2 linked regions of the Nothobranchius furzeri genome follow. Each later gene encodes a partner of the first gene's protein in a complex. Links are inferred from orthologs where the notes say so. Each region holds a gene or a part of one and is shown on either strand. Other genes may lie near its edges.

Region 1 (9,224 bases):
CCCACATGGGACCAGGGGCGGCTGAGTACCGGAAGAGGTCTGAGGGTACCAACCGAGGCCTGGTTGGATGTCTTGGAGCGGGCGCAGACGTCACAGGCACTCGTATAGTCCTTTACATCTCTCTCCATACGTGGCCACCAGAGAGCTCGTTTGAGGAACCTAAGAGTCCGTGAGAAGCCCGCGTGGCCAGACAGGCGTGATGAGTGGGCCCAGGACAATGCCTCGCTTGCGACAGGCCGTGGGGACGTAGAGCCGACCCGCGGGGGTCTCTGGAGGCGCTGGATCGTCTCGGAGGGCGTTTTGGATAGCCTCCTCCAGTGGCCACCTCAGGTGGGCCAAGAAACGGTGCTCGGGGAGGATAGGTGCCAGCTCGGACGTGGGCGTTGGATGTGTGAACTGGCGGGACAGGGCGTCCGCCTTCTGGTTCTTTGTCCCTGGGCGGTAGGCGAGATGGAATTCATAGGGCTCAAAGAAGAGGGCCCAGCGGGCCTGGCGAGGATTGAGCTGCTTGGCTGATCTGATGTGGGTCAGGTTCTGGTGGTCTGTCCAGATGGTGAACGGCTGAGTGGTGCCCAGAAGTCACTGCCTCCATTCCTCCAATGCCCACTTTATGGCCAGCAGCTCGCGATCCCCTACGCCGTATTTCTGCTGGGTGGTGGAAAACTTCCTGGAGAAGTAGGCGCAGGGATGAAGCCTGTCGTCGGGCCCGGCTTGGGACAAGATGGCACCGGCGCCAACATCCGAGGCGTCGACCTCGACCACAAAGGGGACTGCATGATCCGGATGGCGGAGGATAGGAGCCGACGTGAAACGGGCGACTAGGTGTTGGAAGGCCCGAACGGCGTCTGGAGTCAGCCGGAACGGTTGGCTGGGAGGGCTTGGTCGGGTGAGAGAAGTGAGAGGTGCCACAATGGTGCTAAAGTCCTTAATAAAACGGCGGTAAAAGTTGCAGAAACCCAGAAAACTCTGCAGTTGTTTCAGGCTCGTCGGGAGGGGCCAGTCTCTCACCGCCTGGACTTTCTGAGGGTCCATGGTTAGTCCTTTATCTGAAATCATGTAGCCCAGGAATGATACGGACTGCTGGTGGAAGGAGCACTTCTCGGGCTTACAGAACAGGTTATTGTCCAGGAGCCGGGTTAGAACAGCGCGAACATGGTGGAGGTGTTCGGCCTCGGACTTGGAGTAGATCAGGATGTCATCCAGGTAGGCAAACACCCACCGTCCCAACATGTCGCAGAGGACATCGTTTATGAGGCGTTGAAAAATGGCGGGGCTATTGCACAGCCCGAAGGGCATGACCTGGTACTCCCAGTGACCGGTGGGTGTGATGAAAGCGGTCTTCCACTCATCTCCAGCTTTAATACGGACCAGATTGTAGGCGCTCCGGAGGTCCAGCTTGGTGAAGATCCGCGCCTGGGAGATGGCGTCCAGGGCAGATGTGAGGAGCGGCAGAGGATGACGGTCTTTGACTGTGATTTTGTTCAGACCTCGGTAATCGATACAGGGGCGGAGATCACCCTCCTTTTTCCTGACAAAGAAGAAGCCTGCGGCACCCGGGGAGGAGGAAGGTCGAATGAAACCCTGCTGGAGGGCCTGGTCAATATATTCCTCCATGGCTCTGGACTCGGCGGGAGAGAGAGAAAAAAGGCGCCCCCGGGGTGGACTGGTTCCTAGTTGCAGCTTGATTTCCATGTCGTACGTGCGGTGAGGCGGAAGTGTGGTGGCGCGCCGCTTGTCGAACACCGCAGCCAGGTCCCGGTAGGGCAGTGGCAGATTGGGCGGTGTTTGGCCAGTGTCACCGTCCGGGCGGTCTGGCATGGATGTAGGAGGAGAGAGGTGGGCCTGGCACTGGGTCCCCCATTCCAAAATGCGGCCCTGGGACCAGGAAATCCGGGGGTCGTGGAGACGGAGCCAGGGAAATCCCAGGATTAGAGGAGAGGAGGGAGCACATATGATCAGAAACTGGAGGGTCTCTCGGTGGCCTTGGACAATCATCTGGAGTGGCTGGGTTCGGTTTTGGATCGGATAGGGTTGGAGGGGCCTACCGTCCACCGAGGTCACAGGCACAACTCTCTCCAAGGGGGTCATGGGGATCCGTAGGCGCTTAGCCAGATCCATGTCCATAAAATTGTCAGCGGCCCCCGAGTCCAACAGCACGTGCATCTGAAGTGAGGTCTCACCATGAAGGAGGGTAACATGAAGAAGGAGTCGATTTGAAGAGGCGGGGGCTGAAGGTGACCCAGGCTGAGCGACCCCGATACTCAGTGGGTTCCTTCGTTTCCCAAACGTAATGGACAGTTCAGGCGTCTGTGGTGGGAGAAGCCACAATAGGCACAGAGACCCTAGCGCCACCGTCGCTGTCTCTCCTCTGGAGGAAGGTGGCCTGATTGCATGGGCTCATCAGTAGAAGCGGGTCCGGGAGCAGGCGTGGGGGAACGAGGAAGAGGGCCAGGTGCCCTTGATAGGCGAGTGAAGGGCTTGGGCCGAACCAGAACCCGCTGATCCATGCGCAGCGCCAAATCGACCACTTCATCCAGGGTCTGGGGCAGTTCCTTTCCCGCCATCTCATCACGGATGTAGGTCGCCAGTCCCTCCAAGAAGACGGCTCGGAGGGCAGAGTCATCCCACCGCAGCTTGGCGGTTATATTCTGAAAGAATGACAGAAAGAAAATATGGAAGATAATGAATGTGTAATTCAAGAAAATATTTTGTAAACAACAGATAAAAATCTTTTCTATAATATTTATAGAAAATTAGTTCTAAGAACTTAAAGCTGTTTTCATGTCAGTGTTGATCGTTTATCTTGCTAGACCGTCTAAAGGCTGCACTGTCCAACAGTTGAGTTCTGCCTCTTGTTCATCAGACGCCTCGGCAGTGAGGAGTGTAATTGATGAGTTTGGTGACATATACCAGTTAAAAGTATTACCATGCTTCATGATAATCTCTAATAAGGATGCAGCATTACAATTAGGGATGGGAAGAATTTCCAGTTGAAAAGACAACAAATATCATATGATGCTGACCAACAAAGGCAGACCTAGTGCAGAGCAATGCAGCCTTCAAACTGTACATAGTAAGCCTAAAGATTAACAGTAACAACAAAAGAACAGTTAAGTTTCCCCACACAAAACACTGACCACATATTTATAACACAATTGACAAAGAATCAGATCAATAAGGGGAATTGATAATGGCATTGGTATTAACAAAACCTTATCAATACCTGTGGTTGGATTTACCTCCATATTTAACTACAGATTTCTGGTGTGCTTGTAAATGGGGTATTAGGGCATGGTATTGGCCCCACCTTGTGGCACAGTGGGTACTGATAGGTATCCGCTGATTGTTGTATTAATTTGGGCCATGTACCCTCTTTAAATGTTGTGGCGCTGGTCTATAAGAGAATAAAACACTATTAAAACTCATACTTTTAAAAAGAAATACAAGATTAGAGCCAAAATTATATTCCTAACCTATTTCACTTCAAATCTGAATGCATATGTGTTTACCAAATCATGGTCAGTTTAAGCTTTAGTATTCTTCCCTTGTTAAGTTAAAACACAGGACCCTATTTTCTAATGTTTTTGTGTCTAAATGACTAAGAGGAAAAAATTATGAATGATCTACTAGGAGGCAGGGCCAGATTAACACTTTGTTGGTTTTAGTTCTTACAAAAATATGGGTCCCAACGTGGTTTGTGTGGCGTTGCCATAGTGTGACATCATAGGCACAGATCCCCTGTCCTCTTTTTTGGAAATGGAAATATGGTCACCCTATATTAAACAAACTGTCCACCCGGGCTTTTGAGCTGCACAGAGACGCTTCGCTGCCAATGACTTTGAACGTCAGTTGAGAGCGGCTGAGAGTCAGTCTCATGCAGACTGACCAATGAAGAGAGAGCCTCAACTTAAGACCCTCTCCTCAATGGTCAGTCCACACGAGGTGGGTCAAAGGTCACACAAACCACGTTGGGACCCATATTTTTGTAAGAACTAAAATTAATATCAGATTCTGCCAATAAAATGGCTCTAAAATTATTCATATGTAAATTCTTTGCATATTTATTGCAAAATCTCATTTTTCTGCTTTAGTGCTGCAACAAGGTTTTATTAATAAGAAATTATTGTAACTTTTGTTTTACCACAGCACTGGTAAGCTTCCTGTGCACGATTATTAAGGATGCTTGTTTCAACTGTGAGATTAGACGATAGGGTCAATGAAAAAATAAGTTGTCACACACGCCATGGAAACTTTCAGAGAATCCACAAATAGTGGCTTTCAAATGGTCTTGTTACTTTTTGCGAGTTTAGAAAAGAAGCAGATGAGATAGCATGTCTGATCATTTAGTTTTTCTTCTGATAATATTAGAACATGTCAGTGGTGTCTGAGGGGCTTTTACAAACACTGTATAACTAATAATCCTGGAATACACAGAGGCTTCTGGGAAGCCCAGTTGTGGGGGGGGGGGGGGGGGTTAGGGTTCTGTTTTGCCTTGGCCCCCAAAATGTCTTGAAACGGCCTTGGGTGTGTGACTGAGTTTTGAAGGTGATCTGAATTGTATCAAATGTATAAATATTACATGTGTATAACTTATTGTTTTATACAGGTAAAAAGGCGTAGTGGAGATAAATCTACCTACATTTTACTTTTCAACACTTTGTTTAGAAACAGGAAAACTTCAACTACATTACCCACAATGCTAGACAGGTGTTACTATGGAGACGTGGTTAGCTAGTTAAGAAATGAGATATTTGTAACGCGTCTGTTTTGGTAAATTAATTAAAATTTTTACAGATAAGTGCGTTTTGAATGCACAATTCTGGGGGCGTTGGTGACTAGACACAGTTTATGTGTAAAGACGTTTTGTCGCAAAGAGCCAAAGAGGCTTGGCGCTGCTAATGCGCGCGAGTTTTAAAGTGGCCGAGTCTGCTCAGCGGAAGCTAGTTGAAGCTAGCGAGATAGCCACGGAGTTAGCTTTTCATCCACGAAGTTTTACGAGCAGTCAGCAACCTTTAAGCGCTGAGGCTAGACAGTTTACGTTTCAGGGAAATGCATCCGCCACGGAAAGTTTAATCAGGTAAATGTGTGTGTTTTGTTTCTTTTTCAGGCTAGACAGGGAAGGGTTGAGTTTAGCTAAGTAGTAAACACCAGCATTGCTAGCAATTGATCGCAAACATGAACGTTACTCAGAATTAGAAATGAGCCTCTAAACAAAAACATCTTTAAACCGATCAATAAGCGATATTTATGCATGCTAGTGACCTCATTGTGTTGTTTAATACATGACCATATCAAACAACTCATTTCTGATCAGATGTTCGCGAAACAAACAACCTAATAACTCTTTTGCCCCAACAGGTAGCACACAATGTCTATAGATTTTGATAGTGCTGCTCTTCAAACTCAGCATGATGAAGAGGAATATGACCAGGAAGACTATGCAAGAGAGCAAGAGGTAAAACACAGCAGCAGTTTGTGTCCACATATACACAAGTGTGCAAAAGCCTTACTACCATTTGCTTCTCAAGAGTCCGATTTTCTTGAAATCCTTTAAAAGTAGTTTAAAGTCTTTCTCGAGTTCTTGCAACGTTTTCTTGCTTTTTCAACCATTTGTTTTCTGTACAGTCCGTGCATCTGATGGTAATATATTTCTCACGGATGAACAGTATCTGAATGGCTTTATATTTGGAAGAAGCCTATCAGACTTTAAAGAGCAAGTCACCCCCTACCAAAATCTAACTCAACTCCCACTTCATGTTTGAAAAATGCAACAAATGCCGTTGCCTAGCAGACTGAGAGGGCGGAGCCGCTAACAAATACACACACACACAGGCTCACGACAGCATTGTGACATCATAATGTACCAGTTTACGTCATAGCATACCTCTTAGCCAATAGCGGTGGCAGTTATAAATTCAAATACAGTGCAGAGTTTTTACCTGACAACGGCACAACACTGACAGTTTTAAGCAGAATATTTAAATTTTAACTAAGATGCACTGAAGTGCCAAATTATTGACCACACGTGTCTGCAGCACAATTAGACACTCGTTTATTTAGTTTATCAGCAAAAAAAAAGTTGATTTGGGGGTGACTTGCTCTTTAAACAGGACCTGAGTCATGCGTAATCCTTGGACTGATCCTCTTCTATATGAAAGCTTTTCAGCTCAAAGCTCTTATGGAATTACTTTGTTGTTGCTACAACACTATATCATGTGTTATTTTGGTGCTTTTAATAGATTTGTCTCAACAAGTTAGGGCAAATTGTGCCTATTTGACATGATGTGTTTATCAAAGTGCCTAAAATCCGATTTAAGATTGTTTAGTTTAACACTAGTTAATTATTTCACTTTAGAAACATTTTGCTGCCTTAATTATTTGTAAATCAGATGTTTGTTAAAAAATAAATAAATACATTCGTTAGAGAAAAATCCAAGTTCTGAATGGAAAACGCACACACACACACACATAGACACACACACACGACACACGTTTATGTTTGGTCAAACATTCTCATTTATTATAACCAAATGACAAGAGCATATATATTTTATGCTGGGGAAAAAAGCTTGTATTAATTCAGAATGTTTGCCGTTTTATTTTTATGAGATATTTAATATATAATATTAGCAATTCTAACAGGTGGTTTGAGATCATGGTGTGTGTTTCATTTGAATGTCAGTCACTGACAGCTTCACATGGTGAAACATCTACTTGGTTAATCACGTTTCCAGTCGATTGTGTCATGAGTGTGAGTTGTTGTTATTGGCTCCCTCCAGGTGTGTCATGCTGAAACTAGCTCTGCCCTGTGGCCTTCCCTCTCTTCGTCTCTGCTCCTCTCCCCATTTCAGCTTGGTTAAGACTGGAGAAGTGATTGCTGAGCAACTCACCAGGTGTACAGCAGAAAGGAGCAAATTTAGACTTTTTCCATGAACTTTTTGTATTTTATTTTTTTACAACTTACTAAACAAACTGGTCAAGTGGAAAATGCTTGCCACCAGTAATTGGAATGTTTCTGCTCCAGTTAGCCTTGCTATATGTTTTTTTTTTCTTTTAACAATGGAGTTCTTTGGGAGCGAAAGCAGCAATGTCACAGGGAGCCAATAACATGCAAGGCATGCTCTGAATGTTTCTCACATAAGGTCATCTCAGCAGAGTGATTAGGATATATTAGTGGTTATCTGGAGAGCCGAGCCGCGTTTTATGTTCCTGGTAGATGTGTTAGTGTGGTAAAAATGGGTCCTTCAGTCCTGGACACTGTGGAGGATCTGAGGAATATTCAGCAGTCCTTGTGGGAAGTAAGTCCAGCAGTCCGTCTCTTACATGGCCTTGTCTTGCTGTTGTTGTGAAGCTTACATGTTTAAAAGCTGTGGAAAAAACTCTAAACAATTAATGATATTTATAAAATAATATTTGCATTGGAGTTTAATTAGCCTGAGATTATTTTAAAAGTTTTTGGATAAATTCCTTGTTACAATTTGATTATTAACTTAATCATTACATAATTGCTGTAAAAAGTACACAAAACATCTAATCCACATTGAGCCACATCCTGACCAATACAATTAAACCATAATGTTGTTTGAAAACTCAAATATAGCCACTTTTTATTTCGAATGTTTTACACCACTGACCTTTTTCCTTCTTCATCTCACTCATTGCTACTCTGTGTTATTTTTTGCTGCATGTCATTTCATAACTCTGTTGCGTAGCAACCTCAGTGAGTCATTTCCATGTGCTGCTTTCTCTGCAGCTGCACAAGCTGCTCACGGACCTGCCGGATGACATGCTGGAGGACAGCAGAGACTCCTCCTCTCCGGAGCTGGAGTGCTCCAACTGCAGCAATCAAAACGCCAGCAGCAGGTAGCACACGTCGCCGGTGACACGGCGTAGATTAAAACACCCAGAAAATCTGCACTGCAACAAAGTGACTTCATGTTGCCTTTTCCTCTCAGCCCACAGTGTAAGTGGACTCAAGAATGGTCCGATCATGCACATCCGCCCTCTCATGCTCAGGTAGAGAGTATCTTTTTGTTCAGAACTGATTCCTAGAAGAGAAGAAAACATAATACATTTGTTTTTGTATATGGTTTTTTTTTTTTTTTAGATCTATGACGTTGACTTTGATCAAGCCTCTCATGACCAGTATGCCTATGAAGATGATGGAAACCTGCTCCCTCACACCTGGAATCAAAATCATCCATTTGCACAGGAGAGGTATCCGTGCACAAGCGTCGGCTCGGATAAATGCACAGAGAATAGCGATTTTTCTACTGGGTCTGAGGCACAGCCGTTCCCTGAAGGCTCCGACAACCATGTGAACTTTAAAGGAGAAGAAGGCTACAGGAGGGAACTCAACCACGAGGTTCAAAACACCAGACACCAGTTTCAAGTGAGTGAGCGCCTGCATCAGTGTAACCACTGATCTTCAGCGGTTCTCCTAGAATCAGGAAGTTTAAAACGTGATGTATTATTGATCTGTTTCTACATGGATGCCCTGAGTAACCAGTTCAGGACGGCAGCAGCAGAGCTGAAATGTGTCATAAAAGGAAAACATTGACAGTACAGTACCAGCAAATCAATTCATGTATCTCTGCTTCAGCTCACGGGATCCACTAGAGGTGTAGGATAAGCTTAGAGTCCAATCGAACGAGAATTGTTCTGACATTGTATTTATTCTTCTACCGTGTGGTTTTGGGTGCTATAAAAACAATCAGTCATTAAGTTTGTGTAGTTTTTATTTAAGTCACTTTGTACAGCAATCTGTTTTTAAGCTAACAGTGTTTAAAACAAACAAAACAACCATAACAACAATCAGCTATTCTGATTTAAGTCAAAATAATTTCAGATTATTAAACTTTAATTTAGTTTTCGAACGTCTTTACCTGACACTGTGTTTCTTTACTGTCAGAATGTGAACTCTGAAGTGAACGATCAAGGTTCCAACCAGCACCAGGTTCGTTATAAGCCTCATCATGCTGTCCACCAGCCCAAGGTGTTTCACTCTCAAGCTGCTCAGCAAGACCAGTTTGGCCTCCTACAGAGGGAATTCCTCGATTCAACACAACGTGAGTCTTTATTTGTTTTCTGATTTTAAACTCTGAGGTATAAAACTCACAATTACTGCTGCTGCCTTTAACCTGGTCCAGACTTCACAAAGCTGTAAAAGTGTAGATTTATCAACAGCAAATGGTAAATATTTGATGATTGATTTTGACGCTAAC
Region 2 (8,542 bases), on another chromosome or scaffold:
GATAAAGATGACAGAGCTCTAACAACCGCGTTAGCTGACAAACTCAGTCGGCAGATGAATTTGTACATGAAGAGCCTCAGAAGCGCATGAAAAGTTGGGATGTTACTCGTAACAAACATGTGACTTGCCGAAGTCCATCTAGGGAGCTTCATGAGGATTCTAAAAGCATCCTGATAAGCCACTTGAAGCTTCTTCATTACTACCTTACTATAGTTGCACCACAAGTGGGCGGTATAGAGAGGAGTACAAAAGGAACGAAAGAGGGACACTTTTACAGGATCTGAGCACATGCCAAAGTTACGTGCCAGAGTGTTAGCCTGCATGTACAGCTTACCACACTGCCTCTTAATGTCCTCGTCATCACAGAGGTCACTTCTTAAAATGTGCCCCAAATATTTTACTTTGCTTACCACTTCCAGGACCTGATTTGTTAAGTTAAAAGATGGAAAATTAAGCTTCAGGTCCCCTTTAGTAGCAGCAATCATAACCACACTCTTTTTAGGGTTAAACAGGATGTCAAATTGCTCACCATACTTAGCACATGCCCTGAGCAGCTGCTGCAGGCCTGCGCTATAGGGAGACATGAGGACTAGGTCATCTGCATATATTAAATGATTTACCAGTCGGTCACCCACCAAGCATCCAGTCTTACTAGCATTCAGAGTAACAGACAACTCGTCAAGGTACAGGTTAAAAAGGACAGGTGACAGAATCCCGCCTTGTCTGACTCCATTTGATACGGAGAAAGGTTCAGACACTTCTGTCCCCCACTTTACCTGCATCAGTTGATGAGAGTACCAGAAGTGCAAAATCCTAACTAGGTAAGAAGGGACCCCTCTGTTTTGTAGCTTGATGAATAATTTCTGATGATTGACTCTGTCAAAGGCCTTAGAGGCATCTAAAAAACACATAAAAACAGAAGTATTATGCCTCATGTATTTGTTGCAGATTGGACTTCTTCACAAGCAGCTTGAAGCCGTTCAGACGGATCGGCAAGAGTTGGTATCCAAGTACGAACAACAACTAAAGAGACTCCGTGAAGAGGTGTGATCATCTGTTTTTCCTCAAATGCACTCAGCTATATCGCTTGTATCATGTTTATTGTTAACATCGTTTCTTATAGTTGGACAAGTTGAAGAGAAGTTACCAGAAGCTTCATCGCAAACAGCTTAAGGAGACAAGTGGAGGTGGAAAGGAGACTGAGCTTGCAAAGGTGAACTAATAGATTTTCCTGGCATTTCCATCTCCTGGAATTTGATTAATCGTTCTTACATTGGTGCAGAAGCATCAGCAGCGCTCTGAGCAGCAGCGAACTCGGTACCAAAACCAGCTGACCACACTGGAGCTCCAGAATAAAAGCCTGAACCAGGAGCTTGCTCACTTAAAGGTTAAAAAGCACATTTATGACTTTCACTCAGGAAGCCAGACATATTTAGTGTATAAAAGTGTGGAAGACTGCTGCATTGTTGTTGCATTTCAGTAATATTTGTTTTTCCAGAGCCAATGGGCATCGGGGCGGGTGGAGAGGGAACACAAGGAGTGCTGTTCAGAGGTGCAGCATCTGCGTGCACAGCTGGAGAAGGCTCAGGCCAGCCTGCACTCACAGGAACTGGAACTGGATCGCCTCAGACCGCTGGAGGTGCTGTTGGGACAGTCCCAGAGAGAGCAGCAGGTTAGCAGGGCGACAGGAACATGTGAGATGTGTGGCTTCTCAGCTGGATACCAAACATCTTCCATCAGATTCCAGGTGTTTGTAACAACTCTGGAGATAAAAGTCTCACTGTTTGGACTCCAAAGGTCTTCTAAAGTTTGGACGAATTTCATTTAGGCTTTTATTACAGCTTCCATCCAATCACGTCATTAAAGCTGCAGGAAAAGAGCCGTAAATACTTGAGCTGAAAGAAAAAAAAAGTCAAACAAATTAATTGAAAGAGCTGATCACTTCAGGCGTCCATGTTGAAATGAGCTCTAATGAGCTAGGAATCTGCTGCTCCACAGTTGCCGTCGGGGCAACGAGACAACCTCCACGCCGTGCTAGACTCCCGGGATGCGTTTATGCTCAGAGCCGGTCTTGAGCAGCAGAGATTGTGTGAGGAAGCTGCTCGACTCACGCAAGTGCTGCAAGCTAAAGATCAAGTCATCCGGTGGGTGCATCTCTGATGGTAGTCATGTCATTACAGTGGCATGTTGCAAGGGTGGCGTTCCCTACTGGCTTTCCCGGTTCTGGTTCTGCTTTCGTTATGCATGTGAGCGTGTTGTTGTGTCTGCAGCTCTCTGGAGGACTGTCTGTCAGCTCAGGGCTGTGCCGGTGTGGAAACTCTCAGGAAGGCTCTGGAGAGGACTACAGCCAAGCTTCAGAGTGCTCAGGTCTGTGAGCTCCAGCTGAAGGCGGAGCTCTCCTGTGTCAGAGAAAGGTGGCTGCTGCTTTCACGCTCACCCAATCAAACCAAGCCGGGTTTATTCTGAGCTCTGAATGTTTCTACCTGCTCGTTTTCCTCGTTTGGGCTCAGGTTGGAGAACATGAGCAGACAGCAGGACAACGCTTCAAAGATGGAGCAGGAACTGAAAAATGTGAAAGTGCACTGTGACTCCTCTGTCACAGAGATCAAGAAGGTTAGGGACTCTGACCTGATGAGTGACGTTTAACAGTTTCAGCTTCTGTTTCTCATCTCTGGGTGTGTTCTTCAGCTCAAAGAGGAGCTCCAGAGGACCAGGCAGACTCACAGTGGCGAAGCTGAGGGAACGAAAGAGGAGGTGTCAAAGTTGACGAGTGAGCTGTATCAACGTGACCTCCCCATCGCTGCTCTGAGCGGACCCTTGCCTAGCGTCAGGCAGCAGCTCCGAGGCGAGGTGGGGCTCTGGAACAATTGTGGAAAATGTGGAGTCCCAAGATTTACATGAGACTGTAAATGTCCTCCTCCGTTGTGAGCAGTGAGATCCTGTTACAGGCGTGTGTGCTGGATATGTGTTGGTCAACGTCCCCGCTCACATTAGCCCTCAGATAACTAGTTACATCTAAACCTGCTTTTGGAAGTATAGCAGCAGGTCTGATCCCCACACGATAGTCCTGAATCAGAAATGTTTTCCTTTCTCAGGTGACTCAGGCACAGCTGGAGACTTTACAAGCTGAGAACCAGCATCTGAAAGGTCTGCTGCAGCGACTGGAGCCTCCCTCACCCAAGGTCTGTCTGATATCCACCACACAACCTTAAGCCGGGCGTACGCTGTGCGACTTTTTCCCTTTTTTGAGCCGATTTTCCACTCGTGCGAGAATCCACGACATCGGGGCGAGTCTTGCGCTGAGCGTCGTGTAGTGTACAGGGGGTTACGAGAGGCGATTAACACCACGTGACCAGCTGCCGATCAGCAGTCGTGAGCTCGCACGGACTTCTGGCGTGTTTGATATTTCGCTCGTCCCTCGTGAGGGTATCGCACTGTTGAAGCGGCGCTGCGAGCAGCTGCGACCCAAAAACTACCAGAACCGCTCACGGTGCATGCGCAATCCTGCATCAACACCGCTCGCCCGCTATTTCCCTAATAACACACGCTGTTCGTTTTTATTTCTACACGTTTTTTCACTCACAAAGATTGTCAAGAAAGCGTGTTTGTCGTGTTCGTGTCAAATTAAACTGATCACAAAACACAGATTTACTTTCTTTATTTCGTTTTCCTCATCCAACCCCATAAATCCCTGTGTGTCCTCCTGCAGCGCTCCCGAAGGACAACAGGCAAGACGAGACAAAAAAGTGTCACATGTTGTGTAAAAACTGCTATTTTTAGCATATTTTTAGGGCCGTGTTGCTACCAGACGTTCAGTGTGAGCACACGACTCGTGAGATCTGCCCTGCGATGAAGTCGTGCAGTGTGAGCTGAAGCTGAGTGCTACGAGTGAAAAAGTCGCACAGTGTCCTCCCAGCTTTAAAAGCAGCAGCAGCAGCTAGGGACCATCAAACGTGACTCCTGCCTGTGTGTCTCTTGTCTCTCCCCAGAGGGGGGGTTCCTTCCCAGATTCTCTGAAGGAGAGCCTCAAGCCCTCCTTGAGGAGCCTGGAACAGGAAAATAATCAGTTAAAGAAGGTTCTCGCCAAGGAGCAGTCACAGCGTGACAGCTCAAATCAGACACATCGGGAGAAGTATGAGAGCGCTCTGCTCAGCCACGCCATCTCTGAGCAGCCACAGCAGGACCAGGACGGGTAGGTGGCATGTCCAAATGGGTACCAGTCCAAGCTGTTCCAGAACTGATGATGAAACCCTGTTTTGCAGGCCTCAGGTGCAGGATAAAGCCCAGAGCTGTGAGGGAGAAATCCAGAGGCTCTTCAGAGAGCTGCAGATGCTGTCCCCTACAAGGCATGGAGACCATTCCTCCTCCTCCTCTTCCTCCAGCATCAGCACCAGACTGACCAGGAGGAACTCGGTGACAGCATTAAGTCTCAATGAATCTGCTGCTGAGGGCCAAAGCTCAGGCTCAGAAGGCTCCGTGACACCAGGATTCAAAGACAAAGTGAGGCCGCGTGTTTTATGATAAAAGTCCATAATGTACAGTTCTTCTGCCAGGACTTCTGCAGATGTTTGTTTTTCCTCCCAGGATCCTTCATCAGTGTCGTCTGCACGCGGCATGGTCACTCGTTTCTTAGAGGACGAGAGCTTACGGTCCGAGGAGCTGCTGCAGAGGCTGGACCATCACATCCTGGGGATGAGAGAGCACAATACCAGAACGGTGTCCAGATATCTGGCCGGTGGCTCGGGGCCTGAGGCTGAGCCAACATCAGAGCAGAGTCATTCAACTCCTCAGCTCTAACGTTGGTAACGAATCACTGCAAAGTGTTTTAACTTCACATCTTCATCAGCCAGAGCGGACCGAGCGTCTGGTCTGATTAACTTTGTCTACATGAATGTGTTTTTGACTCCTTTGGTCTTCCTTCATCAGCATATTTACTTTGAACCAACCATAAAATAAATGTATTGAACAAATAATCATTGCTATAGTTTATTAGTGCTGAACTAACTAAAGAAACAAAACTGGAACGGACATTTTTCTTCATCAGTCCAAGACAGATGACTGGAATGTCCCTTATGTCTGTAAATATATGTATTATAAATTATTCTGCTGAGAAACAATTTAAAAAATCAGATTTCCTTTGGGTGGTTTAAGTGTGTGTGTGTGTGTGTGTGTGTGTGTGTGTGTGTGTGTGTGTGTGTGTGTGTGTGTGTGTGTGTGTGTGTGTCCTTTAGATTGTTTTAATGACCTTTGTTTAGTTTATTTATTCTTAAACGGCACCACCCATTTTTTCCACATCTATTAATTTTATTGAAGGTAGTGATTGTACGCGTTAGAGACTAAACAGAAGATTTAATAATAAACCAAACCAGGTGAGGGCTTTTATGTAAATGCATTAAAATAAAAGTTTAATTCCTTCTAAAAGTCACAAGCTGTCTCTACTTTCAGTCTCTTCTGCATGAATATATTTAGAAATGTTAATGCTTCAGAAAGGACACGCTGAAAAACCAAACTTGAGTTCTTCTCACTTAAAACTATGTTTTCTGTGTTTTTAGAGGCTTATAAATATGTATTTGTGTGAAACATGCAGAAGAGTGATTTGTCTCCATATGCTCAAAGAAAAAAGTAATTTTATTAAAACAACACTGGGTTTCAAACTGCGGCTGCTGATGTTTCAGCTGTTGGTTGGGTGTCGCTGCAGTTTGGTACATTCACTTTTGGTTCATCAGAAACATCCAGATGTGGTAGCTTTGCCACCGCTTTAGACTCTTCAATCAGAAGGAGTCCACCCACTGTCTCTCTCACCTTCAGCTGCGGATGGCTCAGTCTTTTCGAAAGTCTCTTTTTTATTTGTCTTCCCAACTTCTGGCTGTATTTACGACGTTTGCCATTTCTTTTTCTAATAGAGAAAACAGTTTTAAGGATGAAAGTCATAAATTGTTTAGAATAAATTCTGAGCTAATCATAAATTTTATAACATGCCTCAGCATGGGATCTACCACAGAGTGGTAAATAGCTTGGTACTCTTCAATAGGATAGCCATGGAACCGAAGGGGCGAGTCCCATCCTGGGACTGCATCCTGCTGGACACGATCAGGGTTGGATCCCAAACTCCAGGTCTGGAGGTCTGAGGTGGAAAAGGAAGGCTGGGGTCCTGGCTTTAAACCAAGGGGGAGGAGAAAGTCCGGAGCAGGTGTGGAGGGACAGGAGTTGAGGGGCCGAAGAGTGGGAATCTCAGCAGCAAGGGACTGCTGTTGGACAGAATTATGTCTTACATGATGCAAAAGACATGAGACAGGCGGGCATAGGCCCCACCACAGCATTACTTTAATTCTCATAAATGTCTCACTTTCACTGAGGTTCATCTGAAAACTCATTCTTGCCACAAAGTTAAGTTTTCATCTAAAACAAGTTCCAACTTTACAACTTCATAAACCCTGATGGACGAAAACAAAAACAGCGTATCTGAAAGGAAAATAAAATTCTGTAGCTACTGTTGGAAACATGCGGATCAATAAAGTTTCAAATGATGGGTCCAGCTCTTTCTAAATGTCCATATCTAGTGGTTAGGGTTTGATTTAGCCCTCTACTTGTACCTTCTGCTGTTCATCCCAAACATCCACATCTATGGGTTCCGTGTCATAAGACTCCTGGACCAGCTGGGGACCTGATCCCAGAGGCTGGATGAGGGGGGAGAGTCATTTCATTTCATTTATTTATAAAGCCCCTTCTGCAACCAATGCAGACACCCAAGGTACTGAACACAACACAATAAAAACATAAAACCATCAGAATAAAATATAACAATCGTAAAACCAACACAAAATCAATTAAAAGAGGAGAGTAAAAGCAAAAAATAAAATCCTGGAAAAGATTAAGAGGCCGGGGCGTCGAAACCGGGTAAAATTTGCTAATCCTGGAATGCCTCGACAAAAAAATGGGTCTTAAGGCGAGTCTTAAAAACCCCCCAATGAGGGTGACTGACGCACCACCAAAGGCAACTGGTTCCAAAGTGCAGGTGCCAACACGGAGAATGCATGGTCCCCCCGTGACCTGTACTTAGTGCGTGGAACCATCAACAGCTCCCTGCCGGCTGAGCGATGGGCCTGCGAGGGGGCGTGTCTATGCAAAAGGTTGCCAAGATATGCTGGAGCAGTTCCTTGTAAGGCCTTGTATGTCAGTACCAAGACCTTGAATTTTGCCCTGTATTGCACAGGCAGCCAATGAAGGGATGCCAACACAGGGGTGATATGTTCCCTGCGCCTAGTGCCTGTCACAAACCTAGCGGCTGAGTTTTGTACTAACTGCAAGCGTGCTACCGCACCCTGAGTAAAGCCGGCATACAGTGCATTGCAGTAGTCGAGCCTTGAAAGAACAAAAGCCTGTGTGACAGTCTCTAGATGTACTCTGGACAGCAGGGGCTTAATTCTGGCTAGGCGGCGTAAGTAAAAAAAAAAAAACACGATCGCACAACCTGGTTGATTTGCGCGTCAAATTTAAGGGCTGAGTCCTGTTGCACTCCCAAATTTCGGATGGTGGTCTTCACGTTAGATGCTAAAGGGCCCAGATTCACAGCATCGTATGGGCGTGTAGACATGCCAGGGCTAAGTACAATTACTTCAGTCTTAGCATCATTCAGATGTAAAAAGTTTGTTGCCATCCAGGAGTGCACATCCTCTAAGGCATCTACAAGCTTTGATATTGACCCATCGACCCCCCGCTGAAGGGGAAGGTAGATCTGACAGTCGTCAGCATAAAAATGAAAACGCATGCCGAACCGCAGAAGAAGATTCCCTCAACGGTAGTAAGTAGATGGCAAAAAGAAGCGGACCCAGTACAGACCCCTGTGGCACACCCCACTTGAGCCCCTTCCAGGTCGAGGAGGTTTCACCTACACTGACACAAAAACTCCTGTCAGATAAGTAGGAGTGTAGCCATTGAAGGGCTGCACCGGTAATTCCCGCCCAGTGTTGTAGCCGATCCAAAAGTATGTCATGATCGACCGTGTCAGGCCGCAGACAAATCTAGCATCCCCCTCGTCACAAGCTAAAAAACATCATTAAGAACCATTAAAAGTGCAGTCTCTGTACTGTGACCTGCTCTGAACCCTGACTGAAAGCTCTCCCAGAGTTTGTGAGTGTCTAAAAATGCAACCAGCTGTAAATATACAACCCTCTCAAGCAGCTTGGATAAGTAAGGTAGATGAGAGATAGGTCTGTAATTGGCTAACACAGTTTCTTCCATCCCCTTCTTTTTCAGCAGTGGTCGTACAACAACCCTCTTAAAAGTAAGGGGAACCACTCAAGAGGCCAGACTGGTATTTAAGATAACCAGTACATAAGGGGCCAGAACAGAAAAAGCCTTCGTAAGCATCCTTGGGGGAAGAGCATCATAAGGGGAACCAGAAGGTTTTTGCTTAGAAATGAGTTCCTCTAGCTCTGTCATAGATATAGTCTGGAAGGCTGGCAGGTTTGCCCTAAGTGGCATAGGTGCCACGAAAACAGAAGTGCGGCCTACAATAGTCCAGGACTTAAACTCAGGTCAC

Evidence for each region.
Region 2: the proteins of cep152 (region 1) and cep63 are in contact, whole or in part, in a crystal structure (PDB 6CSU), measured with the Homo sapiens proteins. The link is inferred for Nothobranchius furzeri from reciprocal best matches to the Homo sapiens genes CEP152 and CEP63. Residues at the interface, in NP_001181927.1 of Homo sapiens: Gly1261, Ala1262, Glu1265, Leu1266, Gln1269, Tyr1270, Lys1272, Ala1273, Lys1276, Ile1277, Asp1280, Met1281, Tyr1284, Glu1287, Ser1288, Arg1291, Ala1292, Met1295, Ala1298, Arg1302; in NP_001340037.1 of Homo sapiens: Phe666, Glu669, Glu670, Arg673, Ile677, Arg680, Leu681, His684, Glu687, Leu688, Glu691, Ser692, Thr695, Phe699.

The regions. Positions count from the first base shown.
Region 1 is NC_091744.1:64,196,096-64,205,319, forward strand, and holds the start of cep152 (centrosomal protein of 152 kDa), read left to right. Parts: upstream 1-4,735; 5' UTR 4,736-5,077; intron 5,078-5,358; 5' UTR 5,359-5,368; coding exon 5,369-5,455; intron 5,456-7,753; coding exon 7,754-7,863; intron 7,864-7,955; coding exon 7,956-8,016; intron 8,017-8,107; coding exon 8,108-8,392; intron 8,393-8,911; coding exon 8,912-9,068; intron 9,069-9,224. UniProt on the Homo sapiens protein: Necessary for centrosome duplication; the function also seems to involve CEP63, CDK5RAP2 and WDR62 through a stepwise assembled complex at the centrosome that recruits CDK2 required for centriole duplication.
Region 2 is NC_091756.1:60,717,474-60,726,015, forward strand, and holds the end of cep63 (centrosomal protein of 63 kDa), read left to right. Parts: intron 1-948; coding exon 949-1,044; intron 1,045-1,123; coding exon 1,124-1,213; intron 1,214-1,282; coding exon 1,283-1,387; intron 1,388-1,498; coding exon 1,499-1,672; intron 1,673-1,998; coding exon 1,999-2,144; intron 2,145-2,270; coding exon 2,271-2,414; intron 2,415-2,510; coding exon 2,511-2,613; intron 2,614-2,688; coding exon 2,689-2,850; intron 2,851-3,095; coding exon 3,096-3,182; intron 3,183-3,989; coding exon 3,990-4,192; intron 4,193-4,262; coding exon 4,263-4,500; intron 4,501-4,584; coding exon 4,585-4,797; 3' UTR 4,798-4,973; downstream 4,974-8,542. Other genes in the region: uncharacterized protein, read right to left, coding at 5,650-5,896, 5,980-6,248, 6,594-6,677. UniProt on the Homo sapiens protein: Required for normal spindle assembly.